7 linked regions of the Cricetulus griseus genome follow. The protein of the gene in region 1 interacts with the protein of each later gene in a pairwise test. Links are inferred from orthologs where the notes say so. Each region holds a gene or a part of one and is shown in the gene's direction. Other genes may lie near its edges.

Region 1 (3,500 bases):
GTTTGAATAACTGAATGAATGAACTGGTAGTCTGACATTGGGAAGACAATCAGAGCCCAGCTGAAGTAACTGAAGTCAGCTCAGGATCCATGTCCTCGCAGTAGCCCCACCCCTCAATTGTTATATGCCACACTCATTATAAAATTCTCAGGGTTGGATCCTATTTTATGGCTATATATATATATATATTGCATGATAATTAAATGCTTATTAAGTAGGTAACTGTTCCCTCCCTTCCTCCCTCTCTCCCTTCGTACTTCCTTTCTGTATTTGGTTTTGGCTGCTAAGATGTAGCAGTATGTTTAAGAATTCTGTGTCCTCGGGGCTGGAGAGATGGCTCAGTGGTTAAGAACACTGCCTGCTCTTCCAAAGGTCCTGAGTTCAATTCCCAGCAGGTGGCTCACAACCATCTGTAATGAGATCTGGTGCCCTCTTCTGGTGTGCAGAGACATACATGGAAGCAGAATGTTGTATACATAATAAAAAAAATAAATTAAAAAAAAAGAATATCGTGTCCTCTTAACATAGTGTGTATAGATACTTCCTTCTAGTTGTTACTTCTTGGAAATGTTTTTCTAAAGTGAAAAGGGTTGATTAATGAAGGGGTGGGAAGGGAGTGTATAAAGCAGTCAGGGTCATAGCCTGTTACGCTGTCTTCCTTTCTCTGAGAAAGTCCTGTCCTTTCTCTATTTTGCCTGGCATGTCACTTATTTCAAGTGAAATTTATCATTGCTGCCTTCTGTACATGAAGAAATGGAAAAATAAAATTAAGTGTCAGTTTTCCTTCCCAGGGAGCTGGTACTAAGACATAAACTTTTAATGAAGTCCTGTGTGTATGGTTGATCATTTAGTGTATCATAACCCAGAGTAGTTTTCTCCTAATAAGAGGCTAGTGTTTGAAGGCCTGGTGCCATTCTTTTTCTTTCTCACATTGGTTTAGAGTTGTCATTCTCTGCATAGAAAATGTTACAAAATGTCATGCTCATTATTTTGTTATTGTAAAATTCTACCTACCACAGTAAACCGTATGTAAATAAGAAGGGAATCACTTTTGTCCTTAGAATAATAGGAAAAGCTTAGATCAACAATATGCACTTCAAGTTAGTGAAATGCCAGAATTCAACAAGCTTTCCCTTTGCAAACAGTAGTGAACCTGACAAAAGTTCTGTAATGATTTTGTAGCAAACTAGATCCATGTAAAGCTCCAGTCATGAGATGAGGGTTTTGCACTGCCCATATTCACTTCACTGTGCCCAGAAACTCTAGTCCCTGAAATTACTAATGTTCAACCGTATCTTCATTGTTAAGGCAGGTGTCTAGATTGACAGAGTAGAGAAGTAATTCAGACTTTTCCCTGTTTCCTAGCGAAGTGATCCAGTTTATTACAAGTGGGCCTGTTATTGCCATGGAGATTTTAAAAGATGATGCGATCTGTGAGTGGAAAAGATTGCTTGGACCCGCAAACTCTAACCTAGCTCATACAGATGCCCCCGGAAGCATCAGAGCCGTCTTTGGGACAGATAGCATAAGAAACGCGGCTCATGGCCCTGATTCTTTTGCATCTGCTGCCAGAGTAAGTTGTTTTGAGAAATATTTTTCTCCTGTTTTGTTTGGAAAATTGTTTTATGTCAGAATAAAATATTTCTCCCACTGAGGACTTTGGGAAAATTTAAAAAGCTGATGTAGTAGTGGCAAACAACTTTTGACATTTTCCTAGGATCAAGTATCGGTTCAAAGCCTCATCTCCTTTTTAAATTAGTTGTGTTGGTCACAGTGGAGTGCAGTTTTCTCCAAGTCTGCCGTTTGTTGCCACGCTTCTTTCTGTAAAGGCATAAATGCTGAGTCTCATGTTTGTGACTGAATTCAATTAGGAATCCTAGTTTACTGATATGTAGTAGATATTCCTAAAGAACCTTCATTGGAGTAGTCTGTAATTTAGATCATGCACTGTTATTAGCTAAGTAGGAGTCTAGGAGAAACACTAGAAATACATGGAACGTATGTGTGAAGATGCAAGAAGTCTCGGGACAGCAGGATGGCTTAGTGGGTAAAGGTGCTTGTATCAACACCTGGTACCCTGAGTTTGTTAACTGGGACCCCTGTGGTGGAAGGTGAGAATTCTGTAAGTTGTTCTCTGGCCTCTGGCCATGCATGTACAAATAGACAGCCAGACAGATTGATAAAAAATTTCAAAGCAAAAAAGTTTCTTTCTTTAAAAGAAAGAATGAAATCTAGGTCTTAACAACAACAACAAAATAATAGTGAGAATTATCCTGTGAGCGGCTTCAATAGAAGATTGAATTTGAGTGTTTGTAACAGCTTATTTGTAATAGCCCAAACTAGAGATATCACAAATGTCCAGTAGATGAACAAAATGAACAAGCCATGCTGTAGTCACACATGGCATATTATTGTAAAAAGGAAGGAAGGATTGATTACAGGGAGTGAATCTCAAAATATTTTTTGAGTGAAAGAAGATAGAAAAAATAATGGATGAATTTATATAAAATTATAAAGATCGGCTTATAGTGACAAAAAGCAGGTTAATAGTCAATAGTAATAGTTAATTACTATTAGTAATAAAAGTTAATTATTCTTTTATAATGTCCTGCCAACAGACTCACTGAAATATACAGTATTTGAGTAAGTTCTCCTCCTCCCTCTTGCTTCTGGTTTAAAGAAATATTTGCACATCAGAATAGAAGGGAGGCCGTTAGAGAAGAGGGCGGAGAAGATAAAAGAGTAAGGAGTTAATAAGGAACTAGAAAGCATCACAGGGTGTGTTGGACCTCTATGAAAATATCCCATGAAGCCTATTATTCTATATAATTTAATGTACACTATAGAGTATGAAAGTTCATTAGTATAGCTTTGATTTATTTTATTGTAAATTTGAGTCAGGGTCTCACCATGTAGCCATATTGACCTGGAACTCACTGTATAGGCCCGGCGGACTTGTACTAGCAGTGAGCCTCCTGCCTCTGCTTCCCAAACGGTAGACTTGCTCTTTCAATTATAAATTCAGGGAAAAGAAAATACTAACTCTGAGGCAGGTTTTGTTTTAGGTGTTTTGGAAGCTACTAAGCTCTGCAAGTTGGTTCTTTTCTTCAAATTTATAATTTGGTTGCTGACAAGTCACAGCTGTGATGAATGCATGGCGCTGATTGGGAGCGTGGAAAATCTTTCTAGAGGATAGTTAGATAGTTCTGTGCTCACTGGCAGATGTTTTGGAGCATGGAACAGAGATTTTTATGGAGAATATAGTGGAAAGAATAGTGCTGAAAGCTCAGGGACAGCATTTAAGTAACTAAAAGAATTGATTAGTATGAACATCTTTGGTTCATTCAGATTGCTAGCTAACTTCTTGATTTAATGAGCTGTAGGCAAAGCAATAGCCACTGTGTGAATCAGGCCAAAATACGTTGCTCATTTTGATTTATAATAGAACTATTGTTAATTAGCTGTGGTTCTCAGACTCCTAAACATTAATTTTTCTGTTT
Region 2 (2,428 bases), on another chromosome or scaffold:
AAGTTGCTGGCTCATGCCTGCTGTTTGGCACCTCCTGTGAGGTTCAGGCCAGTTGGGGCTACAGAGTGTCAGACCATGTTTGAGGGAGGGGTAGAAGGAGAGTGGGACCTAGGCATTGGTTTTGGAGTGTACTGCATAGGGTCAGTTTCTGAAAACTGTGGCCTGGGGACTATAAGAAGGCAGGGAGCCTACCCCCTACCCCGTGATCTGCAGTGTTCCTCTGCCACGGAGCTACATCCCTAGCCCTTTTTCAGTGACATGGGCCTTACTAAATTACCTGGGCTGGCCTGGAGTTGGTGATCCTTCTGCCTTAGCTTGGAGTAGCTGGGAATGGGCAGGGAATATACTTGCCTAACACATGAGCCTAGTGCTGGGGGCAGGTGGGATCTAAACCAAGTAGCTGGGATACATCACAGGCTTCTGCCACCTGCCTAGGCTGAAAGGTAAGGAAGCCATTCACTGGGGAGAGCCTCCTGCTGGGAACAGAGCTAGCAGTAATGTCCTGGGCTTGGAGTAAGCGTGACTAGTGTGAGGGGTGAGGGCAGACAAGGACTTCAGAGCAAGGCCAGTGAGGGGCTGGCTAGTTCACTCAGGCCGCCCATGTCCTCCTTGTGTGAAATAGGAAGCACTGGAGGACTGAGCCAAGAGGTAATGAGGGCTGCCTTATCTCCAAAGGCTTCTGAAGTCAGTAGAACTGGCTGGCGAGACAGGTAGGGAGCCAGGGACCTAGCGGTGACTCACGGGACCCCAAGAGCTGCTGCAGCCAGTGTGCTATCAGTGAGAGGAAGGGAGCAGAATCTGGGCATAGTGTTTTACATTTGTTTATTTATTTACTCATGGGGTGGGGGTGGAAGTCAGAGCACAACTTGTGGGAGTGGTTTTTCTGTCACCACGTGGGTCTCAGGGATTGAACTTGGATCCTCTGGCTTGGCAGCCAAGTGCTTTTGTGCACTGAGCCATATCACCTGTCTGTCTGCCTGCCTGCCTGCCTGCCTACCATGTGGCTGAACGTGGAGCTCACAGGGAGGAGGTTGGTGCCAACCAGGCTGTGCCAGTCAGCTAGCTCTAAAGCACCCATGGAATGAGGCTGGTGCAAGTAGGGCTGGCTGCCGGTCCCCACCTGTCCCGCCATGGCTGTTTCTTCTCTTCCTGAGGGTCTCTACACTGGAGGGGATTTCTGATCTTTCCACTGCATGTCCAACTTGGGGGTCACTGAGCCTTCTTGGTGAGCCCTGGCTGGCCTCAGGACACCTATGCCCCAGCATAGGTCTGTATCAGGAGTGGGAGGGCTCCCGAGCGCCCGAGAGGCGGGACAGCCTCTTGGCCCCCCGCAACGCTGTGGCCTCTCTTCTTGGCAGGAAACACACCGGGGAGAAACCCTTTGAGTGTCCCAAATGTGGGAAGTGTTACTTTCGCAAGGAGAACCTCTTGGAGCATGAAGCCCGGAATTGCATGAACCGCTCAGAACAGGTACTTGGGAATTGGGCCAAGTAATTGTGGGCAGCAGCCCAGTGACCGACCTGTGTCCTCGTGCCATCTGGGAAGGACCCCCAGGAAATGCTACAGGGTTATAAAATAGGAGCTGCAGGGGCCTTGGATGCCATCACATCCACATTCTAGTACAAGGGGACACTTGTTCAGAGGGCACAGGGGATAAGCCCTGGGGGGATGTTTTGGGTTAGCTCCATCTTGGGCTTTGGAGCAAGGAAAGTGTTTGTGGGGGTGGCTGCTGGGAGGGGCTGCCTTGCATGCCCCCCTGCCACAGGTGGGTAGTGTTTGGCTAAACCCCACCCTTCTCTTCCTAGAGACAGTAGCAGCTGCCCCCTCCCCCACCTGTGTGGAGATGAGAAGGGTCTGGTGTGTGGTTGTGGACAGTGCTCTGTGATGGTTAAGGCAGGCAGGTTACATGTTGCCCTCTCCTACCCCAGCATCCCTTACCCCAGGCAGACACTTCCCAGCAGCGTGTGGAAGCCCCTGCAGAGGCTGCCGTCGCAGGCAGAGGCCCTCGCTGATGCTGGCCCTGCTTGCCCCTCACACTGCCAGGTCTTCACATGCTCCGTGTGCCGGGAGACCTTCCGCAGGAGGATGGAGCTGCGGGTGCACATGGTGTCTCACACGGGGGAAATGCCCTACAAGGTCAGGCCGAGGTCACCGCCTGGGTGGGGATGTGGGTCCCTTTGCCTAGGGTGGTATCTGGCACCTCTCCCTCGAAGCCTGCCTCCCTTGTCCATCCAGTGACACCGTATAGACAGGGACACTTCTCTAGCCACCCGTGCTCAACATTTCTCTGGGCCTGGAGTGATGGCTGAGCATTGCCCCTCTAGGGAGTCCCCCTTCAGCAGACTGGGGACTGTCCTGGCATTTGGGTTAGGCCCTTCTTCACCATGACCTGACAGCAAGGCACTGATGGTGCAGGGTGCTGAGGCTG
Region 3 (4,151 bases), on another chromosome or scaffold:
TGCTGATGGGAGGCCAGAAGTTCAAGTTCATTTTCAGCTACACAACAAGTTCAAAGCCATCTTGGGCCTTCTGCGATGATCTCAAAAGCAAAGCAAAAGATCAAGTTGTAGAGCATTACCAATGCCAGTCCCTTGTCTCCTACCAGGCCAGGCTCCCAATCAAGATGGTGACTATCCTGGGAGCGGACAAAATCCTGGGCCAGGTAAGGGTAGGAAATGGGACGCTAGCAGTCTTTATTATTTTACTTAACACTTACTGCTTGCAGGCACATGGGGAGGGCAGAGGATAACTTGCAATAGTCCATTCTCTCCTTCCACCTGTGGATCCTGGTTGTCAGGGTTGGTGGCAAGCACTATAGACACACTTGGCCATCTTGCCTGGCCTTGTTTGTTTCATGCCAACCAGAATCTAGAGCATGCTGCAAGCACACTCTACCACTGAATTCCATCTTTAGCCAGTCCATGGGGTCTGTTTGTGAAACTGATGTGAAAACAGTCACACTCATTGTACTATTTGACATCAGACTCCTTTCCATAAATGTTATTTCTAAATTATGAACTTTTAAAATCTGAAATTTCAGCCAGGCGGTGGTGGCAGCACTTGGGAGGCAGAGGCAGGTGGGTCTCTGTGAATTCTAGGCCAGCTTGGTCTACAGAGATCTAGGACAGCCAACGCTACACAGAGAAACCTTGTCCTCTCCCCCTCCAAAAAATAATAAAAATAAAATAAAATTTGAAATCTTGGAGCAAGCTGTGGTGGCACACAGCTTGACTCCCAGGACTCGGGAGGCAGAAGCAGGCAGATCTCTTTGAGTTTGAGGCCAGCCTGGTCTACAGAGTGAGTTCCAGGACAGCCAGGGCTAATACTCAGAGAAACCCTGTCTCAAAAAACAAAAAGAAAAAAAGAAAAGAAAAGAAAAAGTCAGGTTTCGGGTTGAGGGCATAGCTCAGCAGCAGCAGAGCCCGCCGAGACTCCTCAGTGAAGGGCTGGGTCGTCTACACAGAGCCCCCCGTTTGGAGGCTGCAGACGCTATTGAGGGTCAGATCACTTGTCTAATCTTGACTACATCCAATCCTCAGCATCACACAAAAATAGTTCTTGAACATCTATCCATTCAGCCCTGAGATTAGAAGCAGGTGTGGCTCTCAGTCGCTAATTTCGTGGCCAGCAGAGACCTAAAAAAAGGCCTTCCGGCCTTCCGGCTGCGGGCGGCAGGCGCAACCCTTCAGGTTCCCCATCATGCTTTGCGTCCTATGTCACGTGTGCAGTGCACGCCGGAGGCGCCTCCGCGCATGCGCACGGCCTGGGCCACGTGTATTTCTCGTGCGCAGCACACGCCCGCGCCTCAAACCCAGGCGTTGCTTCCTGGGAGGCGTTTGGCGACGGTTGAGCGGCAAGATGAGCGTCTTCTCGCGCCTCAGGAACGGAATCCCGCCGTCGCGCGACGACTGCCAGGTACGGAGCGGGGGTCGGGGAACCTGGTAGCACGAGCTGGGCAGCACCCGGAGCGCGGCCATGGGCGGCAGCACCCGCGGCCCCGGAGGCCTAGAAGGGGACGAAGTCCTGGGCCAGGTGAGGGCGGAGAGCGGGCAGTGGCCCGGGGGAGGCCAGCCAGGCGGCCCCGTCCCTGAGGCCTGCGCTTCTCTCTCCCTCCAGTCTCCCTATGAGCGACTGAGTCAACGGATGTTGGACATTTCTGGGGACCGAGGTGTGCTGAAGGACATCATCCGAGAGGGCGCTGGCGACACCGTAACTCCCGATGCTTCCGTGCTGGGTATGGAGGCCACTGGGCTGGCTGTTTGCCCTTGGGAAACTATGGCTTAAGGTTTTGTTTTTGTTTTTTGCTTTTTCTTGTTTGTTTGGTTTTTCGAGACAGGGTTTCTCTGTGGCTTCGGAGCCTATCTTGGAACTCCCTCTTGTAGACCAGGTTGGTCTCGAACTCACAAGAGATTCTCCTGCCTCTGCCTCCCACCACCGCCCGACCCGGACTGACCTCTTAGCTGCCTGTGTAGCTGAAGAAAGTCTCAGTCTCTTTCAAGTGTTGTAATTACAGGTGGGCAGGACTACATTTTATGTGATGCTAGGAACAGAACCCAGGGCATCGTGCATGGTAGGCAAACCCTCTGCCAACGAGTTACATCCCCAGTCTGATTTTTTTGTTTGGTTTCTGAAACATGGTGACAAAATTACCTCAGACCGAATTCCAACCTCCTGTAATTTAGTAACCTTGAAGTCCTGATCCTTCCTTCCTCTACTTCCCAAGTGTTGGAATCACAACCATGTGCACCAATCTGGTTGGTTTATAGCATTCTTTTGTTTTTTGCTTTTTTTGTTTGTTTTTTGAGACAAGGTTTCTCTTTGTAACTGCCCTGGCTGTCCTGGAACTTGCTCAGTAGACCAGGCTGGCCTCAAACTCACATCTGCCTGCCTCTGCTCCCGAGTGCTGGGATTATAGACATGTACCACCATACCCTGCTTATTTCGGTGTGTCCCTGTGGTATTGCTATGATGGCTCTAAGAGTGTCTTTGGAATGTTTTCTTCACACTTGTGCTTTTCCCCCTCTGCCCTAGTGAAATATTCTGGATACCTAGAGCACATGGACAAGCCTTTTGACTCTAATTGCTTTAGGAAAACACCTCGGCTGATGAAACTTGGAGAAGGTAAGGTCATCTAGGCAAATAAAAACATGATGTGTTTTAGGATTGTCACAGTGTCCAGTGGACAGGTTCGTATAGTTGGTAGCTGAGTTTGGATTTCAGGAGGCACCAGGTTGTCTGTCACTTTTCTACTTGGGACTTGATTTTTGGGTGATAGCTTACCTGGTAAGGTTATCTTGGCATCCAAGTTACCCAATGGGAACTGTTGTCTTTCTTCCTTCTTTCCTTCCTTCCTTCTTTTCTTTTTTTTTGTGTCTTTTTTTTTTTTTTTTTTTTTTTGGTTTTTCAAGACAGGGTTTCTCTGTATTGCTTGTTGTCCTGGAACTTGCTCTGTAGACCAGGATGGCCTCGAACTTACAGAGATCTTCCTGCCTCTGCCTCCCAAGTAAGACAGAATTTCACTGTACATCACACACTGACCTTGAATTCAAAAGCCACCTGCCCCAGCTCTGGAGTGATGAAATAAATGATAAACATGAGCCTTATACCTGGATCCTCTGGGCACTTTTCCTTGTGCATTTATGAAATAAATGTAGTAAATACTTAACTCCCCAACATGTGTGGTGAAATAAGACATTGTAGGATCTGAGAGAATGGCTCAGTCAGTAAAGTGCTTGCCGTGCAACCATGAGGACCTGCTTTCCATCCCACAGAACCCATGTCTAGAAAACAAAGACCAGATGTGATAGTGTGTGCTTATAAATCTCAGTGCAGGGGAGGCAGAAACAAATGGATCCCTGGAGCTCTATGGCCAGCCAGCCTAGCCTACTTAGCAGACTCAAGAACAATGAGAGTTCCTGTCTCAGAAAACAAGGTAGATGCCACCTGAGGAATGACAGCTGAGATTCTTCCCTAGCATCCACATGAGAGTGCATACACAACACACATATCTTTTTGAATTATTTAATCTGTGTATAGCATTCTCCCTGCATATGTGCGTGCCCTGAATACTAGGAAAGGGCACTGGAACATATTACTGATGGTTGTGAGCCACCATGTGGTGGCTGGGAATTGAACTCAGGACCTCTGAAGAACAGCCAGTGCTCTTAACCTCTGGGCCATTGCTCCAGTCCCCGAACACACATATCTTCAGAGGCCATGCTCAGATGAGAACCCCATCCCTGTGGACCTCACTAGAGTGGGGGGAGGTTGGCCTTTAATCCAGAAACTAACTCATAGAATTGAATGAAACATGAAGGTCTGCTTAATGAAATTATAGTCACCTTCCTGCTGGCAGGGCCACAGGCACTACATGAAAAAGAAGGCTTGAGATGAGAGTCCTGAGGTTTGAATAAGATCTAGGGGAATGGAGAGATGCCTCAGAGGTTGAGTACTGACTGCTTTTACAGCAGACTGGGTTCAATTTACAGCACCCACATGGTGGCTTACAACTATCTAGAACTCCAGTTCCTGGAGATCTGATGCCCTCTCTGGTCTCTGAGGGCACTGTATGAATGTGGTACATATACATAAATACATAAAAATAAAGGAA
Region 4 (4,113 bases), on another chromosome or scaffold:
TGCGCACATACAAGCATTGGGGAGGGGGGTGTGCGCACATGCGCGCATGGTCATGCACTCTTGAGTGTGTAACGAACGGATAGGCAGACTGGCGTTGAATTTGTGATGATATTTCTGTCTCCTGGAATTACAGGTGTGTGCTGTACCTTGCTTAGTACCTTGCTTAGTAACTGGTAAACTACATAAGAGATCATCTTAGCTTCATTTATGGGGTGAATTTTAAGATTTATTTTTTAGTTATGTGTAAGTATATGCAGAGGTTCTGGCCTGGTGCTAGTTACAGACACCTGACATGGTTGCCAGGAAGTGAACTCTGGTACTCTGGAGTAGCAGTATGTGCTTTGCAGCCCCTTTTCTGCTAGTTCTCATTTTGTTCATGTCTTCTGTGTATTCTTCAGGGTCAAAGCACGAATTGGGAGCTCTCAGAGACAGCACCAATCAGCAGCCAAAGACCTAACTCAGTCACCTGAAATGTCGCCAACAACCATCCAGGTCACATATCTCCCCTCCAGTCAGAAGAGCAAACGTCCTAAGCACTTCCTTGAGCTGAAGAGCTTTAAGGACAACTATAACACATTGGAGAGTACTCTGTGATGGAGCTGCAGATGCTAACTGTGCAGTCTTCGAGCTATCTGACTCTGCGGGCGGGCCCAGACTTACCAGCCAATGCTTCCATTGAAGCCAGAGTTCCTACAGAGCTGTGTCTGAAAGGTCATTCCCCAGCCCTTTCTTAGAGGCGTTTTCAAATATTGGCTAAGACATTATTATCTCCCAGTAGCCCTTTTTCTGGATTTGAATTCAAATGACATTAATGTTTGTGTCAAAGCCTCCTTGAAGATCTTTACTTGTTTTTGGCTGTAATTCACTTACCTTGTGCAATGCTATTTAGTCCCAAAGTGTAAATTGAGATGTCTTCTATGTCTACCCTGTTGCACTCAGTTGAATAGAAATATTTGGATTTAGAGCATCTCAGGTTTGATTGATGGAAAGGCCCAGCAGTTCCTCATGAGGAAGCGGGAGGGAGGAAGTGGGTGGAATGTCCTCTGGAATTTTGGTGCTCCATTTAAACCAGGTATATTAAGACATGAACATGACTTTCCTGAAGTGGAAGGATCTGTCCTGCCTTCACCCAATACTGTTTTGACAATTAAAAAGGAATGTTCTGGCACTTCCACATAACCTATGCCAAGATGGTAAGACAGCATGAAGTGGTTTTCTCTAATGTCAGCATATTAGTCTCAGTTTACAAATATATTTAATAAAATTAATTTAAAAAAATTTTTTTTCTTCTTTTGGAGACAAGGTTTCTCTGTGTAGCACTGACTGCCCTGGAACTAGCTTTGTAGACCAGGTTGGCCTCAAATTCACGTAGATCTACTTGCCTCTGCCTCTAATGCTAGGATTAAAGGAGAGTGCCACCACCTCCAACAATGAATCCTTTCTTTAGAATGGGCTTTAGAACAACAGACATTTGATGTGTGTCTGCATTTCCCTTACAGAACATAGGGTGTGAAGCTTTGCCGCCAGAAACTGGTTGGACTGTGTATCTGGATCTAGACATTGCAGGTAGTCTGAAATTCTGAAATAGGGACTGTGTCGCTCATCCTCATAGCCTAGCCTTGTCACTAATAGAAAGCTGGAGAACCAGGATTCCCTTTAGGTTGCCAGGGCAACAGGCCAAGTAGCCAGTCAACTCCCAGGACCAGGGTCATTGTTGGATGCCTAAATGTTACTATGACTACTGAAACCTTGGTGACCAAACTAAACAGAAAGGAGAGCCTTCCCAGTGGCCTCAGAAAATCAACCATGTCTATAGATATGTCTACGGAAAAAATGACAAAAGTAGAAGAGGTATGCAGAGTTGGAAGGAGGGTTGGAAGTTGGATGAGTTTCCCTTGACGTGGTTTCCAGGTGGGTTTACCCAAAGTACAGCATTCCTGAGAAAGGCTTGGTAGAATGCAGGAGAGTTAGCAAAAACAAGAAACCACTTTTGGAACAGGAGTTGTTCACAAATGTCCCACTCTGACCCCTGTATATTCTTTTCTGTCTGTTCTGAGAAATGTAGAGCTTTCCCACTTCCCCCTAGGAAACTACTTCATTCATCAAACATAGGTACTATGCTCAGATTCTAGTAATGAAGGCAAATGAACAGAACTCACTTCTGTTGCAGAATTTGCAAAGAGACGCGGCACTTCAGAAGATGGTCAACAGGTAATCTGTGTTTCCATCTCCTCCCATCAGTTTGTCTTTTCGACTCTCCACTCCCTGAGCCACCACCCAAATCAGCTCTCCTTGGGGACTCAAGAAAGAAAACATGAAGCAAACGGGGCAGCCTTGTTCTCGGAGTAACCGGAGATGAGCATGTTAATGCCTACTGGATGACCCTGTTTGTTTCTATGCCCACTTCCCAAGCTTTTCAGGAAAGGCACAAGTGTTTGTTCTGCCTTTCTTTTTTCTTTCTTTCTTTCTTTCTTTCTTTCTTTCTTTCTTTCTTTCTTTCTCTCTGCCTCCCTCTCTCTCTCTCTTTCTCCCTCTCTCTCTCTTTCTCCCTCTTTCTCTCCTCTTTCTCTCTTCTCTCTCTCTCTCTCTCTCTCTCTCTCTCTCTCTCTCTCTCTCTCTCTCTCTCTCCCCCTTCCTTTCTCTTTCTTTCTTTTTAAACATACTTGCCTGGCTTTGTACTAATTAAATAGCAGGTATTTCAATAGATGTTGGACAACTGACACAATACCCAGAAGATTGAACCTCATATTTCACCAGCTAAGATTTTAGTTTTGGTGCATTTGGGTATTGAATCCAGGGCTTTGTGCATGGAGGTGTTTTACCACCAGCTATACCTCCAACCCTGAGCATTTTTAAAAAAATGCTGGCAGAAGCAGGGCATGGGGGCTCATACCTATAATCCCAGTACTTGGATGAGCATGAATCTAAGGCCAACCTAGGTTACAGTGTGATTGATACACTCTCAAAAAGCCCCAAAGGGAGGCCCAATATGGTGGGTGGTATATGCTTTTAATCTCAACACTAGAGAGGGCAGAGACAGGTGGATCTCTTGAGTTTGAGCTCATACTAGTCTACATAATTCCAGGGAATCAGGGTTATATAGTGAGACATTCTTAGTGAGAGAGGTAGTTGGTGGTGGCACAGGCAGTTCACTGGTAGATTGCTTGCCTAGCATGCACAGAACCTTGGACTTAATCTCCCAGCATTCAGGAGATACAGATAGAGGCAACAGAAGTTCAAGTTTAGCTACATAGTGAGTTGGAGGCCAGTATGGGCTACATGAAACTGTCTTTTTTTAAAAAGGTAGATGGGCTGTGGTGGCACACGCCTTTAATCCCATCACTGTGGAGGCAGAGGCAGAGGCAGGCAGATCTCTGAGTTGGAAGCCAGCCAGAACTACACAGAGAAACCCTGTCTTGAAAAACAGAAGGTAAAGGTTAGGAACAATGAACTGAGACCCAATTCTTAATGACCTAGGTGACACAACTTTGCATTTCCTTTTGTGTGCACTGTAACAGCTGACAGCTCTGCCTCTTGTCCATGATACAATTTAGTAACAGTGCACTTACACTTAAGTCAGTTCTAGCTACCCTTTCAAGAACTTTGCAGTCTTCTGGCAGTGACAGAGGTTCTGTCACAAAGCAACCACATTAGTAAGGATTTGTCTCTACCCTAACTCTCACCCACTTAATCCCCACCCCTAACCCTGGGACAGGTGGAAGAATTCACATACTCACTGTATGTGGCAGATGACATTGAGTCACCGGAGAGACCTGTATGCTACCCTAAGGATGCAGGATGATATGGAACAGGAATTAGTAATGGCCAACAAACAGCTGCTGATGGTGAGTTTTAGTAGGGCAACTCTACTCTCTCTACTCCCCTGCCAGCTGGCGTAGCAAGCTCTTCTATCATGACTTAACCATATTGTTTGCCTCTGAGACTTCTCATGATTTTTATCAGAATGTTAATATCAAATGTCAAAGCTCTTTCAATAAGTGATTTTTTAAAAATTTTTGCATTATTTGCAGATGGCACTCCTTGTTTAGTTTTGGGTTTAATGAAGCTTTGTTTTCTTGGGTTCTTTGGGTTGGGTTGGGTTTTGTTTGAGTT
Region 5 (4,191 bases), on another chromosome or scaffold:
GGTCAGAGAGCATTAAGAAGACTGACCAGGAAGGATAGAAGAAAAAGCCCAGGGAGCAGGAGGAGGGGGAGGTTCGGGCAGGTGGCAGGGGTCGGGATAATAGAGGTGTAGGCAATCAGGTTCAAACCTAACAGGGTGTTTCTATGCATCCCTGCCTGCCTTCTGAAACCCCAACCTCTTCAGACACAGTATAGTCTGTAGGAGAGACAGTGGTCTCTTTTCCCTGCTGTTCCAATGGCTACTAGAAAGGGCATGACACACAATAGGTGTCCAGCAAATACTGGTTAAATTGTAGGTGCTCTTGGGCTGGCTGTGTACTCAGCTAGCAGAGTGCTTATGTCGAATATGAGGTCTTGGGTTTGATCCTCTGCACCCGATATACCTGGGTGTGATATCTCATGCCTGTGATCCCAGCACTTGAAAAGTAGGGACAGGAGGATCAGGAGCTAAAGGTCCTCCTTGACAACATAGAAAATTCAAGACCATCCTGGGCTACATGAGACCCTGTCTGTGCACTCAAGCCACCAGGGACTGAGTGAGGAAATGTGTTCCTGTGTGTTTACGAATATATTTCCACATTTGACAATATATATTTTCATAGTTCCCTTTGGACACATGCTTAGCAGTGGACAGAGCCAAAGCACTGACTGGGAACCAGTGCCTTGGGACCAGAGTGTGAAAACTAAGAGACCTGCGCATCTTATTTCTCTTCCTCTTTTTATTTATTTATTAATTATTAATTTATTAATTATTATTTACTAATTTTTACCACATTGGTGTTTTGCCTGCATGTCTGCATGAGTGTGTCAGGTACCCTGGAACTGGAGGTACAGAGAATTGTGAACTGCCATGTGGGTGCTGGGAATTGAACCCAGGTCCTCTTACAAGAGCAACCAGTGTTCTTAACCGCTGAACCGTATCTCCAGCCCCTCTCTTCCTCTTCTTGAGCTCCCAACTTTTCTTCCCCAGGACTCCTGGGGACTCCAGGACTCTCCCCCTACTTAAATTCTAAGGACACTCTATAAAAATCTTTGCCCTAGTGGACACCTATTTATGAGACCCGTATTAGAAAAGCCATTTCCTTCTCTAAAAGCAAAATCTCAAGGGCTAACACCACCTGTTATCCTTGGTGGCCCGGATTAGTCACCCCCTTCCTGGAGCGGTGAGGGTGGCAGGGCAGTGTTGGTGTAAGAAAACCAAAAAAGGGTGCGACCAGGTAAGTCACAGGAATCGCCTGCTCCTGGCGCCTGCGGCTCCGGTGGCGGGGGCGGGGCCTGCAGAGGATGTCCCCACCTCCTCCCTCAGCGATATAACAGGCCGAGGGCTGCCACTCTCCACGACCGTCCAAACTCCTGTCCCGGTCTCTCGCTTCGCTCTCATTTCCAGAAAACATGAGCTTCACCACCCGCTCCACCACCTTTTCCACCAACTACCGGTCCCTGGGCTCTGTGCGGACGCCCAGCCAAAGGGTCCGGCCTGCCAGCAGCGCGGCCAGCGTCTATGCAGGTGCTGGGGGCTCGGGTTCCCGAATCTCTGTGTCCCGCTCTACAAACGTCTGGGGTGGCTCCGTGGGGTCTGCAGGCCTGGTTGGAATGGGTGGCATCCAGACCGAGAAGGAGACCATGCAGGACCTGAACGACCGCCTGGCCAGCTACCTGGACAGGGTGAAGAGCCTAGAGACTGAAAACAGGAGATTGGAGAGCAAAATCCGGGAACATCTAGAAAAGAAGGGGTCCCAGGGCGTCAGAGACTGGGGCCACTATTTCAAGACCATCGAGGACCTGAGGGCTCAGGTAAGGGGCATGAGGGGAGGAGCCCTCGTTCCCAGACATTGTGGTCATCCAGTGCCCCCACCCCATCCCCACCCCCCAAAACAACTTCAATAGGGTGTGGGTGGTTGACTAGTTCCATTCCACATCCATCCCATTTCCCCACTCTACAGGAATACTTTGGATTCCCACCCACAACCTAGGAATTCCAAGCGTGGTGCCTACACACTGGAGTTCGCTTCCCCCAAAGGGTGTAGTGGGAAGGGAACAGGAATAAGAGCCCCGCAGAAAAAAAGGGGGGCATAATGTGGACCCAGACACTCACTTCTTTTTCAGTGGGGACAGTTACAGGGTTAAGCGGATGTAGCTAAGGCTGAGTCATCCAGAAGTAAACAGGAGCCTACCTGTGGGAGGGGCCAGTCAAGGGGGTGGGGGGCCCAGAACAAGAGGTTAGCTCGCAGGTGCACCGGGCGAAATTGCCAGGAGAGAGCTGCTCGTTTGCAGGCAGGCGGGATAGTGCAGGCCCAGACAGAGGGGCAAGGTGCCAGGATCTAAGAGTCCATGAAGGGAGAGGCTGCACAGGTGGAAAGGGAGATGGGAACGCTAGCCTCTGGCAGTTCCGGGCCTGGGATGCATTCAGTGAAACAGAAGACACATCCGCATTCCCGATCCTGCCCCTACCCACCCATCATTTGACCTGGTACTCTCACAGAGACCCTCTGCTTTAATCCACCCAGATCTTTGCAAATTCCGTGGACAATGCCCGCATCGTGTTGCAGATCGACAATGCTCGACTCGCTGCCGATGACTTCAGGGTCAAGTAAGTCTGGGGCTACAACTAGAGTTAAGAGTGGTCTACTCCAGGGGCTGTGTTAGGGTGGGGTTTCCTTTCCGAGGCTTATTCAGGTTAGGGTCCTTTGAGTGGTCATTTAACTGTTCATTCATGCAGCCCAGTTTAAGCATTACTGCTCCTGGCAGCCAAGAACAGTGCTGAGGAAATGATGCCTGACTCAGGTGACTGGTTTGTGATGGGCCTAAGGCTAGGCTAGGGAGGTGGCTCTGGTTGGGAAGGCTCTAGATCAGATGGGGTCCACTGATCACTTCCACTCCTTCAGGTATGAGACAGAACTGGCCATGAGACAGTCTGTGGAAAGCGACATCCATGGACTCCGAAAGGTGGTGGATGACACCAACATCACAAGGCTGCAGCTCGAGACAGAAATTGAAGCCCTCAAGGAAGAGCTGCTATTCATGAAGAAGAATCACGAGGAGGCAAGTGGGGCTACTGACTAGGCCTGGGAGCCAAGACTTAGATGGGCAAGGCTGCCCCCAAAATCAGCCTTGCATGGAAATTTAGAGCCACCAGCCTGGGCTGCTAGCCTGTTTTGATTAAGAGCAAAAGAGCTCACCCAAGTTAGCCTACATTATCTTGACCTCATAATAGTATAAAGTCTAGCTTGCAGCCCTACCACTGGAAAGCTGAGGCAGGAGGATTGATTTCAATGCCAGCCTGTGTAAATAAGGGGAGATGGAGACAAAGGTAGAGATTGCCAGTCTTAGGAGCTGGTAGGGCTTCTGGAAGAAGTTTAAGGTAAAGTTATGTGGGGGGAGGAGGGGATAAGATGCAGAGAGGAAATTATCTCTGAGTGGCAGGTTCAGGCAGTGAAGAAGTGGCATTCCTACCCGTCTGGAGCAGAAGCCCAGATTTGCTAAGTGCAAGTCCAGGATCTCCTTCCCTTTCTTCCCTCATTATGCTCATCATTGCCTTCTAGAAAAGGCCATCTAGAAAAGTGATGAAGGGCTGGGTTGGGACTCTGACCTTCAGTGCCCCCTCTTAGGTACCCCCTCCCCTTGTTTCTGCCTTCTTCAGGAAGTCAAAGGACTGGAAGCCCAGATTGCCAGCTCTGGACTGACTGTGGAAGTGGATGCCCCCAAATCTCAGGATCTCAGCAAGATCATGGCTGACATCCGGGCCCAGTATGAGGAGCTGGCTCAGAAGAACCGTGAGGAACTGGACAAGTACTGGTCCCAGCAGGTATGCAAGAGGAAAGGCTGGTTGTCAGGGTGTGAGGAGGAGGCTGCCAACGAAGGCTGGTCTTGACTGACCCTCCCCGCACTACAGATTGAGGAGAGTACCACAGTAGTCACCACCCAGTCTGCTGAAATCAGAGATGCCGAGACCACACTCACAGACCTGAGGCGCACCTTCCAGGCCTTGGAGATCGACCTGGATGCCATGAAAAATCAGGTGAGAGTCCCACAGTCACCTGCTGCAGTTCCTCTGGATCCAAACCTCTGATATGTGGCCTCAGCCCCAGCTGTCTGTCCCTCTTCCTCCTCCTGACAGAATCAAGGGATTCCCTAAACTGAAGCACTTCTCTTTCTATTTCCCATTACTCCCACACTGGAGCCTAGTACTTAG
Region 6 (3,507 bases), on another chromosome or scaffold:
CCTGGGTTTTATTTAAAGCTAGCATCCCTTGGATGGGCTCCCCCTCCCCCCTGGCGGTGAAGGGGTGAAACAGTAGGAGAATCGGCATTCACACTGGCTGTCCTCTTGCCACAGCTGACCATCAACGAGGCTGCTGCCCAGTTCTGCATGAGGGACAACACACTTTTACTTCGAAGGGTAGAACTCTTCTCATTGTCCCGCCAAGTAGCCCGAGAGAGCACCTATCTTTCCTCCTTGAAGGGATCCAGGTGAGACCCCCCCCCCTTCCCTGGGCCACCTTTGGTTGGAATCCTGCCAGAGTTGGACATCTCCTCACTTGCAGCTCAGGCAATTCCAGGCCTGCTTCCCACCTACCTGCATGTCTTCCTCTTGCCAAGTCAACTTGTCCGAGGCCTGCTCTTCACTCCCAACCCCCCACAATAATGACTGGAGATGCCTATCCAACCAGCCTCTTGGAGTTTTCCTGGCCAGATTGTGTTCCCTGTGCATCCTGGAGCCCTCCCTAACCCTGCTTTCCCTATTCTCCTAGGCTTCACTCTGAAGAGTTAGGAGGCCCACCACTGAAGAAACTGAAACAAGAGGTGTGGCTTGGGGCTTAATGGGACAGGGCAGGATAGCCTACCCTGACCACTGCTTTGCTAGGTCCTCATTTCCCAATTTTGTGCATCCACAGGTTGGGGAACAGAGTCATACCGAAATCCAGCAGCCTCCCCCAGGCCCCGAGTCCTATGCACCCCCATACCGCCCCAGCCTAGAGGAGGACAGCGCCAGTCTGTCTGGGGAGAGCCTAGATGGCCACTTGCAGGGTGAGTGCATTACTGTCTGCTTTGGGAGGAGGTGGGAGTGGGCGGGTGGGTTACAGGAGTGAGCCAGGAGTCAACTGCCTGGAGCAGGGCTGGGAGGTCTGGCTGGATGGGGACAGAAGAGCCTATGGGAATGACTTGTCGGTTGAGGGTGGGTACCGTTGGCGGCAGCCCCCTGACCTGACCAGTGCCCATGCCCACAGCTGTGGGGTCGTGCCCAAGGCTGACGCCGCCCCCTGCTGACCTGCCCCTGGCATTGCCAGCGCATGGGCTATGGAGCCGCCACATCCTGCAGCAGACACTGATGGATGAGGGGCTGCGGCTCGCCCGCCTCGTCTCCCATGATCGCGTGGGCCGCCTCAGCCCCTGTGTGCCTGCGAAGCCGCCTCTCGCAGGTGAGGCAGCCAGCAGTGCTGTCCCTAAACACCCCAGGCCCACACAGGGTCCTTCTTTTGTAGGACCAGAGGGGAGGAAGAGGGATCCCATACCACTGTCAGGCGCTCCAGCTAGTCAGACCTTGAACAGGGGCAAGCTACTGCTGGGTTGTTTACGATGGGTAGGGTCTGGGCCAGGTGGGGATCGTTGACATGGGGGAGCAGGGAACAGAATGAGGTGTGAAGGTGAACAGTAGAATCAGGAGTAAGGGAAGCCTGGCTAGAACTGCCTAATGCCGGGGTGTGGAGTCGCGGGGAGTTGTGGGGATAGGGTTCCCCAGCTTGGAAGCCAAGGAGCCCAGAGCTGGGCGCTTTTGTGTGTGGATAGGAAAGGAGTAGGCCGGCAGAGGGCCGGGCAGCCGCTGGGCTGAGAGTGACGCAGCAGACAAAGCCACCAACCCTGGCTTGGTATTTTTAAACTCTGCGTGGGTGGGGGAGTGGGGGCGGGGACTGGAGGGGGGGCTTTTCTTGAGGGAGAAGCTGGGAGTCTAGCTTCCTGTGTTTCCCCTGATTTGGCTACCAAAAACTCGGGGGGGGGGCACTTGTAGGGTAGGTGGGCCTGGGAGGGGGGCCAGAGATGAGTGGGGGCGGCTGGGGAGGGGGAGGGGGAGAGGTCAGAGCCAAGCCGCCCCCGCAGCTCCTGACAGAACCAGAAATTCCAGCAAGAGCAGAGGCGGGCGAGACAGAGAAAGAGAGAGACACACAGAGACAGAGAGCTACACACAACCAAAACAGGAGGGGAGCTGCATACACTTGGTCATGGAACCCCCGTGCACACACAGTGGGCAGGAGGCTGTAATTGAGTAACAGGAGCAATCTTCACATTTTTCTGTGCTGGCCTCACTCAGAACAGCTAGCTCTTCAGCTCAGCCTCCATCCTTGTCTCCTAACCCACACCTTTTTCCTACAGAATTCGAGGAAGGCTTGCTGGACCGATGCCCGGCCCCAGGACCTCATCCCGCTCTGGTGGAGGGTCGTAGGAGCAGTGTGAAAGTGGAGGCCGAAGCCAGCCGGCAGTGAGAGTGGGGATGTCTCAGGCCCAGGACCCAGACTTCTGGCTCACTCAGACCCCCATATTCTCCATCCTTGAACTCTAGTCACCACCCTAGAAGGATCCTTCTGCTGCCCTTCTGCCACCCATCTGCCCCATGGGCACAGGACTATGGGGCTTCAAGCAATAACAAGCAGGGGCCTGGCCAGAGGACACTAGGAGGGTGCAAGGTGCGCCCTCACCCGGCTCAGGGGCATGGACTTTGCCTACAGCCTGCTGGGGCTCTCCCTACACACACACAGACACACACACACAGACACACACACACTCTCCCTCTCTCTCTCCAATCGGCGGCCACCAGTGGTATGAACAGGCTGGGATCAGCTTGGATGTGGGGGAAAGAACTTCCTGAGAAGGTCTAGCAGTTGAAAATGGCTCTGTTCGCCCTGATACTGGGGTCTCCTGGAAAACTGGATCTCCCCATCCCCATTTTTTTTTTGTGCTTCTAGTCTGTTTCTTTTAATTTAACAAGTGCTGCGGTTTGCCCACCCATCCTCATCACCCCCCCTCCCAGCAGTTCGTTCTTGTACTGTGTGTGAGGGCTCCCCACAGTTCCCTCCACCAGCCTCTTAGAGGCCTGGGTTAGACCCTGGGTCTCCTCAGTCCAGCAGGAGGACTGCAGCACCTGTCAAACTCTTAGAGTGTCTTTCTTTTCAGATTGTGTACAGTAGATTATTTATTTTGTTATTTTGGAATAAAATTTATTTTATGGCTTAGGATCCATGATCCCCCCTCCCCCTAGGGAGGGAAAAGGGGACGGCATGAGGTGTGAATGGAGAGAAGCCGGCAGTGGATGGGAAAAATAAAAGAGCAGGTGGGGCCACCAGCGCCCAGGGCGTTACACAGCGAGGCCTGTACCCCCCTATTCAGTCCTCAGGCTCTAGAAAACACAGGAAGCATGGAGTCACCAAGGCTATAGCTATATGCATGTCACAGCCAGGTAGTTATGCCCAAAATGACATTGGGTTACTCTGAGCCTTTCAAATATGTGTTGTCACACAGGCAAAAGCAGAGATACGTGTCCTGTGTGGTCATATAGTGAGTGTGTGACATCTGTAGGTTAACATGTCTCAGGTAAACATTGGTACAGCTACACACACAAAGAAGCCTAGCTCTTGTGAGGCTCACTCTCAACTGTCACAGAGCCTCTTTTTGGCAAGAATTTGGAGCTTTGGAGGAACTTGGTTTTTAATCATTACCAGTAACCATATGCCTACAC
Region 7 (4,131 bases), on another chromosome or scaffold:
AACAAGGAGGTTCAGCAACCCTGGACACTTGAGTCAAGTGTGAGCATAGTGCTAGAATGTCCACTTTACTGATGACACCCCAGCGCCTCCCTCCTAGCCCTGTGTGAGCTAAAGCAGCCGGGCAGGTTAGTCCTGCACAGCTCTCATGGGCAGATCAAACCGGATCCTGCTTGTCTGCTCTACCAGAGATTGACAGGGACTCTGGGAGGCAGGTATGGAGTCCCAGAGGCTCCCCTACTCATGCCATCCTGGGGCTGCCTGCTCACCGCTTACCTTGACTGCTGTGGTCCTCCAGGCTGACCCGCCAGTCGTCCCCTTGGAGCTCAGCGTGCAGCAATGCATGGACCCCAGAGATGAGGCCCGGCTCCTGCTGGGGCCGCAGGGCCACATCACACAGGTCAGCCCTGCAGCCCAACCGATAGGTGCAGCCTGACCTGGACGGGGGGTGGAAGGTGTAGAGATCACCGCCCCTGCCGCCCCCTATGCGCAGCAGCTGGAAGCAGGGCAGCATGGGGGGGTGCTCCCCTCTGCACCGCTTCTCAGCAGTTCATCACCTCTCCTACTCCCAGGCCATGCACCGGGGGCTTCGGTTCAGTTGTCTGACGTCAGCAGCCCCACTGTGGGTAATGCCAACTTGAGAAACACAGATTTCCAAGAGCGCCAGAGGCCTGGACACGCATGCAACCGCTGTAGCTAGCGGCTGTCAAGATGAGACTTCAAAAGCAATTCCGGAGAAGCCCTTTCGCGATGCAAAACCAGGAAGACGTCCTGTGGGACCTCCGTGATGCCGGGTCCTCAGGCCGCAGAATATCCGGGGAGGCTGTAGCAATCTGTTCAAGGCAAAGCTACTTTAAGCGGCAGCTGGGGACACCCCAGCGGGGTGAGGAGGTCCCGCTACACGGACGTGCGTGCGACACGAACGTGTCCCCTCGAGTGTAAGCAGGAGCCGGGAGGGAAGCCTACAGGTCAAACTTCCTAATCCAGGTAGAGCACCCCTTCTGTCCTGCCCCGAGGGAAGGGAATCCGCTGTCACCCACAAAGGGCGGCGCAGACAGGTCCCTAACTCTGCAACAAGGTGGAGCTCACCCTCTCCTCTTGCGCTTGCGGGGTGCCCCGAAGAAGGACTCCACACCCTGTGCCCCTCGCTCCCGCTGCGGTTTGACAGCCAGGAAGCCGCCCTCCGGAGGGCGCGGCTCGGGCGGGCGAGCGGGCGAGCCGGCGGGCGCGCACCGCGCAGACTCCTCCTACGGAATTCCCGGGTCCAGCTTCGCGCCTGCGAGCCCGCGCCCCTCCCCAGGCTGTCTCTGATTGGCCATCTGACTCGCCCTCCTCCGCTGTACTGGACGATGCGCAGGGAGGGGCCGTCCATCTCCCGCCCTCCGCCGTTTCTGATTGGCCTGCAGGTTTCCCGGGTTCCCGGGATGGGGCGGGGCCGCCAGGGCGCGGAGAAGGCCTGGAGGAGTCAGTGTGCCTGCGTGCGCCGTTCTTCTTCCTTCCTCCTTCCGGCAGGCGGGGCGAGTTGGGGCTTTAGAGCATCCCGCCAACCCCACCCGCCGCGCGCATGCGTGCTCAGGGCGGGAAGCCTAGCGGGGAAGCCAGGGGCTAAGGGGCGTGGCAAGAAGGCGGACCTCGCGCTGGGTAAGGAGCGTTCGGCCGGAGTCGGTTGGTTGGGGGCGGAAAGGGGCCTGAGAGGGGGTGCTCAGGAGGGTGGAGGGGGTCCACAGGGCAGGAGGGGTGCAGGAGCCCGGTGAAAGAACAGATGAGGAGGTCGGGGCAGCCTTACAGCTCAGGGTCCTAGTGAGGGGGATGAGCCCGTGGGTGTGTGCAGGAGAGGAGAGGGCAGACCTGAGGACAGCGAGCGACCGGGACCATAACGTCAAGAAAAATGCAGAGTAGGACTAGGAAGAGAAGCGTGTAGGGATCTCGTTGAGTGGAAAACAAACAAACAAACAAAAAATTTGAGTTCGGACGGGAGTTGGACAAAGAAGATGCTGCAGGACTCTGAGCAGCGAAGGGCTTCGGGAATGGAAGCAGAGGGGATAGAGAGAAACTGAGGCCCGCTGCAGGGAGACTCCGATGAGATAACAGGAAGCTGGCTGCCTGGCAACGCGCTCCAGGCTGCTTGCATTCCCTGGGGATCCTAGGGAAGCCGCTTAACCCTACATGAGGCCCCATTCTTCTGGTGCCAGGCCTTGGGCTAACGCTTTTGTAGGAAATGACCCAGAAATCATGGCGCGGTGGTGCCTAGATGGGTTTCCCAACGTCCCTACCATACCATGGCGAGAACTGTGGAGACGGGGTTCACAACAGGCCCGCTCACCTCCAGACCAGAGCTACAGGGATCGTAGACACTTAAGGAGGAAGGTAAAGGCACCACTCACAATCCTGTAGTAGAAGCAAAATCCCCAAGAGCATCCCCTGGCCCCCATCTCGGTACATTTACCCCATGATTGTTGCCTGGTTCCTTTGTCAGGAGCGTGTGTTCGGGACAAGCAAGTCTGCCTTGTTAGGGAAGTAGGGAGAGAGAAGCTCAGAGCTGGGCAGATCTGTCAGTAACTGAAGGATTGTGGCTTTGTTATTATAGGACTTCCTCTTTGGAAGGTGGCCTGAAAACTGAACTGGAGTCTCCTTGTTTCTCCTACTGTCCAGGGGAACCTACACTCTTGCGGACAAGATCGAGAGGCTTCAGATAGAGTGGAGATGTTGTCTCCCTCAGGTCAGTAAGGCCAATCAAGGAGGCTGGGAAGTCTCTCTGTGTCTCTCTGCCTCTGTCTTTCTCCCTCTCTCCCTCCCTCTCCTCTCTTTCTCTCCCTCTCTCTCTCCTTCCCTTCCTCCCTCCCCCTCCCTCCCTCCCTCCCTCCCTCCCTCCCTCCGTCTTCCTCTCTCTCTCTGAGAAACTGACAGTCTTTACTCTTGTGACCCACCCCCTCAGGTTTTGCTGGACTGGTTCCTCCCTCCCACTTCCAAGCTCGGCCGAGAATGGCCCCGACCTGGGCTTCAGACATTCCCCAGTTCCAATCCACATTTGACCAAGATGTCCTAGAGAGGCGGCAGCTGGACTCTCAGAGGCCCACAGTGACCATGAGGGAACAGGATGTCTATGGAGATGGGCAGGGGCCAGGGCAGAGAGGCAGGTAGGGATCTGTCAATCACCTTTTTCTCAGACTTGCTAATGATCCTTTATACACACATTCCTTTATTTCAGCAGCCCTGGGTTCCATAACTTGTGTGGTTTTCTGTAGGCCATTGTTGGTACCTACACTGCATATACCATTATGCCCTGGAGAAAATCAAGAGAGAGGAGAGAGAGAGAGAGAGAGCGCGCGCTCTGGACTTAAATTCCCAATTAACAAGTGTTGCTAGAGTTTCTTTTCCTCCAGGTCCTGCCACCGCTTCAGCCCCAAATAAACACACAGACACTATATTAGTTATAAAACAGTTGGCCAATGGCTAGGGCTTCTTGGTGGCTAGCTCTCTCTTCATCATTAACCCACTTCTATAAATCTATGTATTTCCACGTGGTCTTGGCTTACCAGAAAATGCCCAGACCTGTTACTCCTTTGGCAGCTACATGGCATCTCCTCCCTGCATCTCTCCCAGGGTTCTCCCTGTCTCCCTGCCCCACCTATCTTCCTGCCTCTTTTGGCCAAACAGTGTTTTATTCATCAACCAATAAAAGAAACATATATACTGAAGGGCATCCCCCATCATCTCCTCTTTTCTGTCTAAATAAAAAGAAGGGTTTACTTTTACTTTAACATAGTAAAATTATATATAACAAAAACAGTTATCAAGTAAAAACATATAGTTAACAATAAAGAAGGAGTGTAAATGTCTGAGGGAGGAGATGGATTGCCCAGAAGCCATTGTGAAACGAAGTGACATGCTGGCTCTTAGTTAAAAGGGCCTTTCCCGGCATACACCACTGGAGCTGGCTATGCTCGGCATATGTGGTTTAAGATTTTATTTTTGAGCCGGGCATGGCCTGCCTTTAATCCCAGAGAGGCAGACAAGCAGGCAGATCTGAGTTCAAGGCCACTCCCTCCCTGGTCTACAGAGTGAATTCCCTGACAGCCAGGGCTACATAGAGAGAATCCTGTCTGGGGAAAAAAACAAAACAAAACAAAAAAG

Evidence for each region.
Region 2: the proteins of Nme7 (region 1) and Zbtb48 interact in binary tests that used the Homo sapiens proteins (3 or more experiments, as listed by UniProt). The two-hybrid records come from large-scale screens. The link is inferred for Cricetulus griseus from reciprocal best matches to the Homo sapiens genes NME7 and ZBTB48.
Region 3: the proteins of Nme7 (region 1) and Fkbp6 interact in binary tests that used the Homo sapiens proteins (3 or more experiments, as listed by UniProt). The two-hybrid records come from large-scale screens. The link is inferred for Cricetulus griseus from reciprocal best matches to the Homo sapiens genes NME7 and FKBP6.
Region 4: the proteins of Nme7 (region 1) and CUNH1orf189 interact in binary tests that used the Homo sapiens proteins (3 or more experiments, as listed by UniProt). The two-hybrid records come from large-scale screens. The link is inferred for Cricetulus griseus from reciprocal best matches to the Homo sapiens genes NME7 and CFAP141.
Region 5: the proteins of Nme7 (region 1) and Krt18 interact in binary tests that used the Homo sapiens proteins (3 or more experiments, as listed by UniProt). The two-hybrid records come from large-scale screens. The link is inferred for Cricetulus griseus from reciprocal best matches to the Homo sapiens genes NME7 and KRT18.
Region 6: the proteins of Nme7 (region 1) and Nab2 interact in binary tests that used the Homo sapiens proteins (3 or more experiments, as listed by UniProt). The two-hybrid records come from large-scale screens. The link is inferred for Cricetulus griseus from reciprocal best matches to the Homo sapiens genes NME7 and NAB2.
Region 7: the proteins of Nme7 (region 1) and Cchcr1 interact in binary tests that used the Homo sapiens proteins (3 or more experiments, as listed by UniProt). The link is inferred for Cricetulus griseus from reciprocal best matches to the Homo sapiens genes NME7 and CCHCR1.

What each region holds. Positions count from the first base shown.
Region 1 is NC_048598.1:27,997,174-28,000,673, reverse strand, and holds part of Nme7 (nucleoside diphosphate kinase 7), read left to right. Parts: intron 1-1,365; coding exon 1,366-1,573; intron 1,574-3,500. UniProt on the Homo sapiens protein: Possesses an intrinsic kinase activity. Displays 3'-5' exonuclease activity with a preference for single-stranded DNA. Does not seem to have nucleoside diphosphate kinase activity.
Region 2 is NC_048595.1:4,334,228-4,336,655, forward strand, and holds part of Zbtb48 (telomere zinc finger-associated protein), read left to right. Parts: intron 1-1,358; coding exon 1,359-1,470; intron 1,471-2,043; coding exon 2,044-2,136; intron 2,137-2,428. UniProt on the Homo sapiens protein: Plays a critical role in transcriptional regulation and chromatin remodeling. Acts as a regulator of telomere length. Directly binds the telomeric double-stranded 5'-TTAGGG-3' repeat.
Region 3 is NC_048597.1:114,399,399-114,403,549, reverse strand, and holds the start of Fkbp6 (inactive peptidyl-prolyl cis-trans isomerase FKBP6), read left to right. Parts: upstream 1-1,351; 5' UTR 1,352-1,399; coding exon 1,400-1,456; intron 1,457-1,657; coding exon 1,658-1,775; intron 1,776-2,572; coding exon 2,573-2,662; intron 2,663-4,151. UniProt on the Homo sapiens protein: Has an essential role in spermatogenesis. It is required to repress transposable elements and prevent their mobilization, which is essential for the germline integrity.
Region 4 is NW_023276806.1:64,478,668-64,482,780, reverse strand, and holds the start of CUNH1orf189 (uncharacterized protein C1orf189 homolog), read left to right. Parts: upstream 1-1,313; 5' UTR 1,314-2,134; coding exon 2,135-2,211; intron 2,212-3,715; coding exon 3,716-3,845; intron 3,846-4,113. Other genes in the region: C1H1orf43 (protein C1orf43 homolog), read left to right, coding at 399-594. UniProt on the Homo sapiens protein: Microtubule inner protein (MIP) part of the dynein-decorated doublet microtubules (DMTs) in cilia axoneme, which is required for motile cilia beating.
Region 5 is NC_048595.1:398,416,383-398,420,573, forward strand, and holds the start of Krt18 (keratin, type I cytoskeletal 18), read left to right. Parts: upstream 1-1,391; coding exon 1,392-1,793; intron 1,794-2,506; coding exon 2,507-2,589; intron 2,590-2,884; coding exon 2,885-3,041; intron 3,042-3,639; coding exon 3,640-3,804; intron 3,805-3,891; coding exon 3,892-4,017; intron 4,018-4,191. UniProt on the Homo sapiens protein: Involved in the uptake of thrombin-antithrombin complexes by hepatic cells. When phosphorylated, plays a role in filament reorganization. Involved in the delivery of mutated CFTR to the plasma membrane.
Region 6 is NW_023276806.1:130,082,124-130,085,630, forward strand, and holds the end of Nab2 (NGFI-A-binding protein 2), read left to right. Parts: intron 1-114; coding exon 115-248; intron 249-529; coding exon 530-581; intron 582-673; coding exon 674-806; intron 807-1,006; coding exon 1,007-1,198; intron 1,199-2,147; coding exon 2,148-2,257; 3' UTR 2,258-3,007; downstream 3,008-3,507. UniProt on the Homo sapiens protein: Acts as a transcriptional repressor for zinc finger transcription factors EGR1 and EGR2. Isoform 2 lacks repression ability.
Region 7 is NW_023276806.1:229,456,694-229,460,824, forward strand, and holds the start of Cchcr1 (coiled-coil alpha-helical rod protein 1), read left to right. Parts: upstream 1-1,331; 5' UTR 1,332-1,346; coding exon 1,347-1,638; intron 1,639-1,644; exon of another isoform or gene 1,645-1,662; intron 1,663-2,189; exon of another isoform or gene 2,190-2,212; coding exon 2,213-2,364; intron 2,365-2,584; exon of another isoform or gene 2,585-2,649; coding exon 2,650-2,716; intron 2,717-2,932; coding exon 2,933-3,134; intron 3,135-4,131. Other genes in the region: Tcf19 (transcription factor 19), read right to left, coding at 274-511. UniProt on the Homo sapiens protein: May be a regulator of keratinocyte proliferation or differentiation.